Linked DNA regions of Drosophila melanogaster. The protein of the gene in region 1 binds, or shares a complex with, the protein of each later gene. Each region holds a gene or a part of one and is shown in the gene's direction. Other genes may lie near its edges. The genes, in order: Scm and ph-p.

Region 1 (6,934 bases):
CTATCCACATTGTACACACAGCCAGATAAGCAATTTATAATTTGGGACCCCCCAAACTTTTCATGCCATCTACATCAACTAGTTTGGCTAGCCCACGCATCACTCAAAAAAAGCAACAGTGTTGCCAGCATTCGCAATTGTCCTGCGTCCTTGGGCGCGTTGATCACCCACTTTGACATACTTTTTAATTGCTTGGAACACGTGTCTTCGCCTTTTATGTATGCAGAATGTGCATGCGTCGGCTTGTAATTAAGCACGTAGGCAAACGCCTCCATTTCCTGCCCAGCAGGATGCTTTATGGCTGATTGAATTCCGTCAAAATGCCACTCCCGCCAATTTATACGTGCTTTTATGCGAGCTGTAATGCTGTTTTGGTAGTGCGAGGCAATTTTAATTTACTTTTAATTTTTAATAGAGCAACTAGTAAAGTCTAGCTACTTGCCTGATTACTTTTGCTTAGGGATTCAAGAAGGAAAGGATATCCATAAGGGTGTAAGATGCAACCTTGTACTTGGTTCTGTACACCCATTAATGAATATGCTTATTAAGTTCAATCCCCACTCCAGTGCCCACTCGGAGCCAGAAATTTCTTTTGTCCAATTTGCGTAACAAGTCAATGACTCAAGAACTCGTCTCTGGACACCCCTTTTTCTAATAGCCCATCAAGGATTTGACAGGCGACTAAACGGTAAACGGGCATTTAATGAGGAGCAGAAAAGGCAGCCGCCTCATTTCATCCAATTATCCTTGTTATGGGCAGCCGATGGTCCCATCCAATTATGCGCGATTTGACGATTGTGTGAGTGTCAGGGAACTTGGTTTCGGTCAAGTTTAATCATTAATAATTAGGAATGTCTTTATTGATTATTAAAGAGGGACATCACGCCGCCTTCAAAACATTCAATTAACAGTGTTATCAAGTTTTTCGACCGCAATATTTGGCTTCCAGTTGGTTATCTTTGAAACGCGACTAAGTGAGCGGATTATTCTTTGAAGCACATCAATTAAATCAAGTTACGGACCATTTAGGCAAAGCGAACAAAAATCAAACAGCAGCAGAAGTTAGCCAAAAAGTTTGACCAATATACATTTCGGCTAATCCCAGAAAAGTTTTTCCAACTTGTTTCATCTTTGAGCCGCTTTCGACTTACTGAATTTACTGCAAACGAAACACACTTATGTAATTTCTAGTAATTTGCTAGACTTCTTGACATTTGCGACGCTCTTCAGCAAATAAAATTAACGAAAGGTAAGCAAGTAATATTAATTTGCTTGACCTAATAAAGCCTTAGGCCAATCGTATAAGCCATTATTTTGATAGTAACATATTTTTGTATTTCAGTATTGATTGTTTCATGGTTTTGGTAATTACGAAAACCGCTTTCCTATGTTATACATGATTTTATTAAAATATCAAAACTTTCCCTTGTTCAACCCATTTTCCACTATCTGAACCGCTTTATTGCGAATTTCTCCCAGTTCAATGGAAATGTTTACATACCAGAGCGTTCTATAAATTGGTAGATATTAGTTTTGTTGACTAACCCATTTTTTTTTTTTTGATTTTCGGCTGATGTGTGCCGTGCGCTTTCAAATTTACAGACTTTTTATATTATTCACCAATTTACGCCCACTTGATGCTGTGCAAATTTGATTCACGAGCGTTTTGTTAGTTTTACTGGGAAATACTATGAGCTGATATTAAAACGTAGGAATTCGGTTATAAGTTTATATTCTCAAAACCAAAACGGTTCAGTTTACTAGACTAAATAGTTTTTACATTACGCTGTACAATTTTTGACAGGAAATCCAAATTTCTTTTCTATAATAAGGGCTTACGTTTTTAAAAATGACAAATATTTATTTATATTAGCAGTTAAATTAAATACAACATTGTGGTAAAAGTATTGAGCATTATCTACTTTGCTCTTTAAATTGACTATTTATTGTCAGTTATGTGATTTCCCATTTAACGTTATTTTAAAATTGCATTTAGTTGCTTCGATAACATTTTTCGATTAGTCACATTAGTTGATTATTTTCATCGCTTCGTGAGCTGTCACAGGTAAGCAACTATCGATATGCGCAAAGATCTGAATGTCACCACTAGAAAAACAAATATGGCGGAACCGAGCGTAAAAGTAAAAAAAGTCTAACATTTTGGAGTTTAAGCGACTCAAAATCATCTAATTTCGGATTGAAACCGAGTAACAAGATCCGCGCAGCGCTCTAAATATAAAGCTCGATATTTGGTGAACCAGAAACTAATTGTGCGGCTCGCGTTTGTTTTCGTTGGGTGATGCGATGCGATTTGGCCACCAATTTGTTATTACGTGACCTCAAGAACGCCGCAAAATTTCGCCAGGCCAAATCGAAAGAAATCGGAAAGTTAGTGCTGCAAAACAAAACTTGCTATTGGTGGCTAATGATTCAAGGCAGCCGCAATGCGATTTGACCGCCGGATCGGAACACACGAAATCGAAATCGCCTGAGATGCCAAGGGGCTTGCCGGCGCGAATCAGCAAGTGCGACTACTAGGACAGCCACGCGAGAAACCATGTCGGGCGGACGTGATAGCAGTACCAGTAGCGGGAGCAATTCTGCTGCGCCAGGGGCCAGTACGAATGCCACCTCCTCCGCATCCGCATCCGCCTCCTCCACATCCACATCCGCATCCCCTGGAAGTACAACATCGCCCGCGTCCACGCAACGGCAACGAGGTAGACCGGCCAAACGAGCCACATGCACCTGGTGCGGCGAGGGCAAGCTACCGCTGCAGTACGTCCTGCCCACGCAGACCGGCAAGAAGGAGTTCTGCTCGGAAACATGCATTGCCGAGTTCCGCAAGGCGTACAGCAAGGGGGCGTGCACCCAGTGCGACAACGTCATCCGCGATGGGGCGCCCAACAAGGAGTTCTGCTCGATCATGTGCATGAACAAGCACCAGAAGAAGAACTGCTCGACCAGGCACAGCGGCGGATCGGCATCGGGCAAGGGTCTGGCGGAAAGCGAGCGCAAGTTGCTGGCCAGTGGAGCGCCCGCACCAACGGGGCCCTTTCAATACGAGAGCTTCCACGTCTTCGACTGGGATGCCTATCTAGAGGTAAGTCAAGCTGGGATAATGCTTTAACCCCCAATCTCATACTTTTTGTGGTTTCCAGGAAACGGGTAGCGAAGCTGCTCCTGCAAAATGTTTCAAACAGGCTCAGAATCCTCCCAACAATGATTTTAAAATCGGAATGAAGCTGGAGGCTTTGGATCCGCGCAACGTCACTTCCACCTGCATTGCCACCGTGGTCGGAGTGCTTGGCTCCAGACTGCGGCTACGCCTGGATGGAAGTGACTCCCAGAATGACTTTTGGCGGCTGGTCGATTCTACGGAGATCCATGCTATTGGACACTGTGAAAAGAACGGTGGCATGCTGCAGCCGCCTCTGGGATTCCGCATGAACGCATCCAGCTGGCCCGGCTATCTGTGCAAGATCCTCAACAATGCCATGGTGGCGCCAGAAGAGATCTTCCAGCCAGAGCCGCCAGAGCCAGAAGAAAACCTGTTCAAGGTGGGCCAGAAACTCGAGGCTGTCGACAAGAAGAACCCGCAGCTCATCTGCTGTGCAACAGTAGATGCAATCAAGGATGATCAGATCCATGTAACATTCGATGGTTGGCGAGGGGCATTCGACTACTGGTGCAATTACCGATCGCGTGACATTTTTCCCGCCGGCTGGTGCGCTAGAAGTTGTCATCCCATGCAGCCACCGGGCCATAAATCGCGCATGGACTCCAGCTCTAGCAAACAGCGATGCCCTCGACCCCGCTACACTGTTGTAGCTGAGTCCGAGGCTATGGTTCCCGCTTCCCCTGCCACAGCCCACTTCCATCCGAACTGCAAGGGCGGTCCGTTCATCAACAATTCCAAACTGCCCTGCATGGTGACGGGACCCACCTACCAAACGCTGGCCAAGCTTTGCCTGCAGGAGGTTTTAGCTGCCAGCACGGATACGCAACAGCTCTCAAAGTTGCTGTTTGCCCTGGAAGGAGATGTTCATATCGTGACGGCAGCGGGGAAAAATTTCACAGTGAGTTCAAGATCAATTAAATTCAATGAAAAGCATGTTTAAAATATACTCTTCGTTTCTTAAAGGTAAAAATACCATCGCCAATGCGAATGAAGGATGACGAAAGCCTCGCCCAATTCATCGAAACGCTGTGCACTACATGCCGGGCATGTGCGAATCTCATTTCCTTGGTCCACGAGACGGAGGAGTGCAAGAAGTGCGCCAATAGTCGGAAGCGTCAACTGACTCAGTCAGCCACACCGCCTTCCTCGCCAGTGCTCGCCGACAAGCGAAACCGTCAATCCAACTCGGCAACGACATCACCCTCTGAGAAGATTATCAAGCAGGAATTGGCTGTCAAATCGCCAGTGGAGTCCAAGTCGAAAACTTCGACGAACAATGGCAAGGAGCCTGCAAGCCAGCAAAACAGCAATCACAGTCTCAACAATAACAACAACAGTGCCAGCAAGTCCAGCAACAAGGTGGTCATCAAATCGGAGCCCAACGGAGCGAACGCGCAGACTTCCTCCACAACGCAGGCTCTGCGCAAAGTACGCTTCCAACACCACGCAAACACGAATACGAATAGCTCTGCGACAAACGGAAACCAGGATACGAGCCAGACCACGCACGTATCTACCAGCCATTGCAGCAGCTCGTCAACGTCGTCCAGCACGAGCCTAGCCGGAGGATCGGCGAACACCAGCACAATTGGCAAATACCTGGCACCTCTTGTGGCAGAAGTTCATCCAGAGCAGGCCAATGTAAAGCCCTCGAATAGCTACTACAAGAGTCCGACGACGCTCTCGTCAAGCGCCTCGTTGCCGACATCCGTGTCCACGCCGTTCACGGGCTGCCAGTCAGCCTCGTCCACTGCACTGGCTGCAGGTGGAGTTACAGCGGCTAAGGCGGCCACCGCGCCGGCTGGAGCAGCGGCAACTGCGGGAGCTTCTCCGAGCTACACCGCGATTACCTCACCCGTGAGCACGCCCACTTCTGCTTTGGCAAACTCACATCTGCGGTCGCAGCCGATCGACTGGACCATCGAAGAGGTGATCCAGTACATCGAGAGCAACGACAACTCCCTTGCAGTTCATGGTGATCTCTTCCGAAAGCACGTAAGTAGTAGCTATTACCAATTACCTTAAATAAAGTAACTTATCTAATTTTCGTCTGTAGGAAATCGATGGTAAAGCTTTATTATTGCTAAATTCAGAGATGATGATGAAGTACATGGGCCTGAAGCTAGGACCAGCCTTAAAAATCTGCAATTTAGTCAATAAGGTCAATGGTCGTCGAAATAATCTGGCACTCTAAACAGAAAAACATTAAGTTTCAGGCAGCGGACTCGGTTCGGGTTTGACTTATATAGAAATTGTTAACAAATTAGTACCTCCCTTTAACGTAAAGCAAAGCAAACATGAACGATATTCATAGATGTGTTATGTGTTGGCCATTCATGAAGAAAAAACCCCTACCCTATTTTATTATATTGATAATATAAAACACGCTATAACAAATGTAATCGCGAAGACATGAAATTCCCTATACAAAATCAATCGCATAACAAATTATACACAGTCAAGCTCCGGTTTTCAAAACCATTATTATTAATTTTTTTCCAACTGCTCGTGATTCTTTTTTTGGAATACACATTTACAAATTGATTTATTTAGACAAAATTATTATACTTGAATTAGGAATTTTTATAGGTTTATTCAAATTTACCCAGTCAAAGGAGTGGAGTATTCGTACACACACAATAATTAGTTTATCCATCTATTTCGAAAAATGTGAAATAGTTCTCAATTGGACACAAAATGATTCGACTTTTTCGAAAACTGGAGCTCGGCTACCAAAATCGCAATGCACATACATTATATTTATTACACATAAAAACACGCACATTAGACACCAAAATCTATCCGACACAAAAGAAATGATAATTAACTTTAGAATAGGCGAGAAAATAAAAACCAATATTAAATGATTGTACATATTTTACATCTAATTTTGTAATTATGTATCAATTGCGTTTCCTAACTATAACAATATTTAATTAGTCATTAAACAGGTTGAAGATTTAATTTCTATTAAGTTATTGAAATTGAATATCAGTTTTTAGTTAATTATTCACATGCAGTTAAGGTCATTTTTGCATATAAGAAACGCTTCCTTTCAAAGTTTTGCAATATATGCGATATATAAATGAGAGTAACATTCGGTCGTGTAAAATATTGCAATAAGTCTCATTATGTTAACCCAGCATCCACTTACAAATACAAAAATTAAATAGAGCCAACTGTATATATCATTACGTAATAAACATTACAATTTGTTCTATTTTCAACAGTAAAATAACTGAAAGATGGTAGTCGGATTGGAAGGAAAATACTCAGGCTACAAAAATTCGACTAAAAATGAATCATTGCAAGAGTCAGCATTTGTTGAAAATATCCAAGAATTTAAGAAGCGATGATAAACAAGTCATATTATTATCATATTTATTTTTAACAAACAGATACACACGAATCTTTCCGCAACCTGGTCATTCGTAAAAGTGCTTCTGCACCCATCGAGGCAAGGCAAAGGCGGCGGAGTGAACCTCGGAGGAGTAGTACCTTAGGTCTATAGAATCGATTTCGGACTTTCCAAGCTTGGGAGTAGCGAAGTCCTGGTTTTTGTTCAGGGAGCCCATGACGAAGCCAATGTGGCCGCAGGGATAGGACGGAACGGAGGTGACGGCATAGGCCACCTTAGCAAAGTGCTCCTTGCAGCCGGACATGGTCTTCTTGATGTAGTCCAGGTCCAGCCAGAAGCTACCGCCCTGGGAGCACACGATTCCGTCATCCTTCAGCGCGTGTTTCATTAGCTCG
Region 2 (4,936 bases), on another chromosome or scaffold:
AGCACTTAAAAAGCCTAAAAATAATATGGCGGCAGCAAAAAAGAAAAGGAAACGAGACGAGACAAGCCAACAAAAAGCTAATCGGAATGAAAACATTTGTGGGGCTCAGCGACGTTGTTGTTGGATGAGGTGGGAAGAGTAAGAAGAAGACCAACAAGAGCCCAAAGCAACGCACACATACTACAAATGGTGCATGCACACACGCACGGGCTGGCACAAAATGAAAAATGAAATGACAAAGACAGGCACAGTGGGTCATGAGTGGTGGATATTTGAAACATTAATAAACTTAAAACTTAATAAATCAACTCAATACGTATGTCTATTATATAATTCTATTTTACTAAACGTTTTCATTTTACTTATCGTAACATTGTTTATATGTATAAAAAGTTTGGAAAAATTGCTGTTCTAAAAAATTGACCCACTGTACTCTTGGTTCTCAAACTGCAACTGTAAAGCAATCCAATAATAATGGATCGCTTACCACTGTTCAATGGGGTGGAGAGAATAAGATTTCGCTCTGCCTCTGCGCATACGCTATCCTCCCCTTCTCAACCGACACACCCGTGTGTTACTGACAAGCACAACTAATAATAAGGTAAAGCCGATCCGACCCGATCTGATGTGAAAAAGAAGGAATGAGAAAGGAGGTAGAGGTAGGAAGGTAGTCGTAGTGGTGGTGGTTGTGATGGCACGAAAAAAGAAGATGAAGTATAGCAACAATCGTTGTCGAGTCGGGCCGGGCGGTAGACATTCGAGTGTACACACATAAAACTGGCTTCGCGCGTATTTATGTATGTACATACCCGGTACCCACAAAGTAAAAGGGTATACTGGGCACTTGGTTTTAACTGGAATTTGTGTTAGTAGTCAGCACCAATAACTTACAAATAAATATTTAAGAAGGGTTTTCATTTTAAGGATACGACTGAAGTTAGCGAGGAATGGTATATGAAAAAGGGGTATTTGAAAGTCGAGTCACCAGACCATGTTATGTTTTCAGCAACGGAAGGGGGCTTTCAGTCGGGGTGGTTGAGCACGCATACACATGCCCGCCAGCTGTAGTCTTCCTGTTTTTTTTACTCGTTTTGGTTTTGCTTTGTCAAACGAACTGCTGCCGTTTCATTCCAACCCCAAGCGAACGCACGGCATCCCTCTCGCACGCGCTAACTGGCCAGGGCCACTCCTAGTGGCGTCGCACTCGCACCCGTGCATTTCGGTATAGAGAAAAGTTATTAGTCGCAACGGCATCTGAGAAGAGAGAAGCGGATCCAGCTGCACACCAACACACACACATATTCAGCGCACATGCGCTCATTTTGTTTCCGATCCGAACGAAAAGTAGAGTTGTCGCTGTGGCGCGCGGTTCAGTTTGAAACTTAACTTGGCGGTGTACGGTTCTTGCGCTCTGCTCTCTCTGCGTTCGTGTTGGTGTGGTGTCGTATGTGTCGCATACCGCATCGCATGTGTATTGAACGAAGAAAAAACCCGCCGACGCGACATACTCACTGGATACCCTGCAAATTTGTTAAATTTTTTTCAAAAAGAGCTAACGGTGCTGTTGATTAGCTAGTGCAGATGTGCAGACATAAAAAGTGATGCCGCGCCACAGTGGAGCCCCTAGCTGGCGAATCGTCGCTGGCGACGTAGGCAGTGCAGTTAAAACAAGTACTTAGTGCTGTGACTGTGGCTTAATTTTATGTAAGATCGCGTGCACAGGTGCTTAGTCGTTACACTGAGAAAAAGAAAAGTGCCTGCAGCCAGCGGGGAGAAGTTGAAGTGGAGTGACTGTGAGTGGAGGTTGTACTAATTACTACTGCCCGTGCACGAAACACTCATTTACACGCAAGCACACACACACACACACACACACACGAGACACTGGGACTTTTGTCGGATTTTCGTATTCGTTTTGTGTACTTTTGTTGTCTTGCGTTCCACGTTACATACATATGTATATGTTTGGTGTTGCCTGTTGTATGTTTATATTTATTGCCTTCACACATGTGCGTGTTTGTTAATGTACAATATAATACGGCAAATAGCAAAAAGAGAAGAAACTGAGGACTAAAAAGAAAGCGCCATGCCGACTATAACAAAAACAACCACGAGTGTCTCCGCCGCCGCCGAAAACAAAAACAAAACGCCTAAGCCGACGCATGCATACCTATAATTTATTATAAATATTGTTTTTATTTTGAATAATGGATCGTCGTGCATTGAAGTTTATGCAAAAAAGGTATTTTTTGTTTAGTTTGGTTTTATTTTTATCACTGCTTTTGTACTGCCTGCACTTGTGCTTTTTGTTTACAATTTTTGGTTTAATCTGCTCTTGAGCATTGGATATTGATTCTATATCGTATTCGGATAATAATGACACGTTAATCATAATGCTCGTAAAAATGCAGCGAGTGGATATTCTGTGCTCTCTGTCATCATAAAATGCGCTCGACTGGCGGGCCAAGAAAAGAAAATAAATTCATGAAACCCAAAACGAGTTTCCCCTCCGTCGCCCTCTCCGCCATTCATCATCCAACCGACACACGCCCCCCGCTGTGCGGTGTTGTTGCATTTTTAACAACGAATTTCGCAATGCATGCCCGTGTCTGCATTTGTGTGTGTGCGTCGGCTGGTGGTGGTTGATTTCTCCGTCTCTCCGTGCAACCCTCTCTCACTCGCGCAACAAAGCAACATAAAGAAAACAAAAGTTCTATATCGAAAGGTATCAGTTTTTGTTGTTGCTGCGGCAACCCTGCTTACATTTTGCTTTACTCTGCCGAAATAAACAGTCTAGGGTTGTCAGCTGTAACGAATCTGAGAAATCTGTGTTCCGGTTTAACGAAGATTCAATTTTATTGAATACTTTTATATTTCTTACAGTCCGTTATCACTGAATGCTAATTTTTACCTACAAACTTAAATTGTTCGTGGCAAGAAAATAAACCAGAATGATTAAATTATTTTAGACTCGTTTAAAGCACAACAGTTTTTGTAAATAAATAGTTGACAACTCTGTTTACACCTACGCTACACCGCACTCGCTCTGAGTTTATGTGACTGTGTGTACGGCCTGGCCATAGCCTCATCTCGTTCACTCACATTTGTTTCATCTTCTTCGATTGCAGAACTCGTTTGTGTATCAATCAATAGGCTGTCAAGGCCCCCCCCCTCCTCGCTCGCTCCCGCGCATTTTGCACGCCCGAATCCACTGGAGGTGATGTTTGATTTGAGCGCGACCTTTCCCCCGCACCCCTATCGGCGTGTCTGTGTGTGTGTGTGCTGCCCCGCATTTTGATCATTCCTTTCCCACCGCTACTGCTTTCCCCCCGATTGCAAGCAGGCTGTTTTACGGGGGTTCTCACACACTCGAGCTCGAATGTATGTACCCTACTCCATGGCGACATGGAAACCAGTCTTTTTTTTTCTCTCAAGAGGTTTTTCGCAGCGTGCGGCCGTGAGCTTAACTTACACACACTTGCACACGCGCACCCACCACCCTGTGGCGAGTATTCCACCCCTCTGGACCACCCACCCCATATTCCCTTTCTTTTACGGGGTAGCAGCGACATGAGGGTTGCCAAAATGCTTTTACCGGCTTTTATAACCCATTTCGCTCCTTTTTCTGTCTTTTTTGCACTCATGCTTTTTATGCTCTTGCTGTTTATGGGCCTTGCGGGCTTTTTGGGCGATGGAAAGGGGTGGGGATCAGGCTCTCTGGACTGCCGGGCATCACAGTCGCGGTCAATGCAATAGGACCTTGAAACCACGCTTCTCCAGTTAGATCATTCATAGTTGAACTATATCAGGGAACTGATTCAGGAAGTAATATTAGTTAATTATTTCTAGAAAAACATCCTTACCATGTGGAGTACTCAGCCATTTACGTTTGTCCACTAATCCTATTAGCTTGAGCACTACTGTATAAAACACTAACCATCTCGTGTTGCTCCCAACTGTCAGCATTTTTAGCATTTCGATGGAAAGGTCCTTGAACTTCGCCTGCAATTCGCATCGGCTTTATTGCCCTTTTACAATAATATCGAACGGTGCCAGCTGCGTGGCTAAATTAGTTTTCCGGGCTGTTGTTGTCGAACGTTGAACGTGGAAAACGAGTGCGACTACCATGCTGCTCATGGAAATTCGAAAACCCATAGATAAAGATCGATGTGAAATGCGAAGGCTGTCAGGCAGCTCCTTTCTCTTCATTCGTTGAATGCGAAAGTCCGTTAAGTAGTTGGCCAAATGTTCATTGTCGCTGAAAAAGGGCGGGTTCGGAAAAAGGTCCACAAAAAGAACGAATATTTTCGGGATAGGGATTGGGATCGGGATCGGGCTCGGGATCTCTACCTAAAAGTTAACCAGGGTACACAATTCTTAATTAGAAATTGAAATGACATGGTACATATCTTCAGGCTTGACCTTGTGATTAAGTCGGAACTATAGTTTTGATATTATCCCGAGTTAAAGGTGATCGTTACCTCAGAGTCATATTTACTTTTCCCGCGTTTGTTTCTGCCACTCTCGAAAGTCATCTTTTATGTTTACATTGTAAATATGATTATTTAATAAGAGCGTTTTTGTTTGCTAGTTCCCGCATTTGTCTCACACTTTTTTGAATGACTAAAACCAGATTTTTGTATTTACCAAGTAGCCATATTTGCTTAAACAAAAAAAAAAAAAAAAAAAACGGATATCACTTTGTTATAGCTCAAAGAAGCTGGGGTCGGAAAAATCGAATTTTTGAAATTTGAAAGCTGGAATCGTTTGCCCATTTTTTGCCCATGTTTGCCCACCAATTAGTTTTTTTTGCCCACGTCCAGTTTTTGAGATATGAATTTTCGAAAAAGTTCGAAAATTTTCGAAAATCAAAAATTTCGCTTTTTTCAAAATTTTTTTTTTTAAATCGCAATAACATCGTTTGCCCACGTTTGCC

The links.
Region 2: the proteins of Scm (region 1) and ph-p are in contact, whole or in part, in a crystal structure (PDB 1PK1), measured with the Drosophila melanogaster proteins. Residues at the interface, in NP_001247006.1 of Drosophila melanogaster: Asp819, Ser821, His825, Met848, Lys854, Leu855, Gly856, Pro857, Leu859, Lys860, Asn863; in NP_476871.2 of Drosophila melanogaster: Gln1537, Gln1538, Glu1539, Ile1540, Asp1541, Gln1543, Ala1544, Leu1547, Leu1548, His1552, Ala1556, Met1557.

The regions. Positions count from the first base shown.
Region 1 is NT_033777.3:9,632,779-9,639,712, reverse strand, and holds Scm (Sex comb on midleg), read left to right. Parts: upstream 1-2,101; 5' UTR 2,102-2,557; coding exon 2,558-3,103; intron 3,104-3,161; coding exon 3,162-4,079; intron 4,080-4,144; coding exon 4,145-5,176; intron 5,177-5,237; coding exon 5,238-5,375; 3' UTR 5,376-6,354; downstream 6,355-6,934. Other genes in the region: SpdS (spermidine synthase), read right to left, coding at 6,607-6,934. UniProt on the Drosophila melanogaster protein: Polycomb group (PcG) protein. PcG proteins act by forming multiprotein complexes, which are required to maintain the transcriptionally repressive state of homeotic genes throughout development.
Region 2 is NC_004354.4:2,133,323-2,138,258, reverse strand, and holds the start of ph-p (polyhomeotic proximal), read left to right. Parts: upstream 1-1,636; 5' UTR 1,637-2,207; coding exon 2,208-2,242; intron 2,243-4,936. UniProt on the Drosophila melanogaster protein: Polycomb group (PcG) protein. PcG proteins act by forming multiprotein complexes, which are required to maintain the transcriptionally repressive state of homeotic genes throughout development.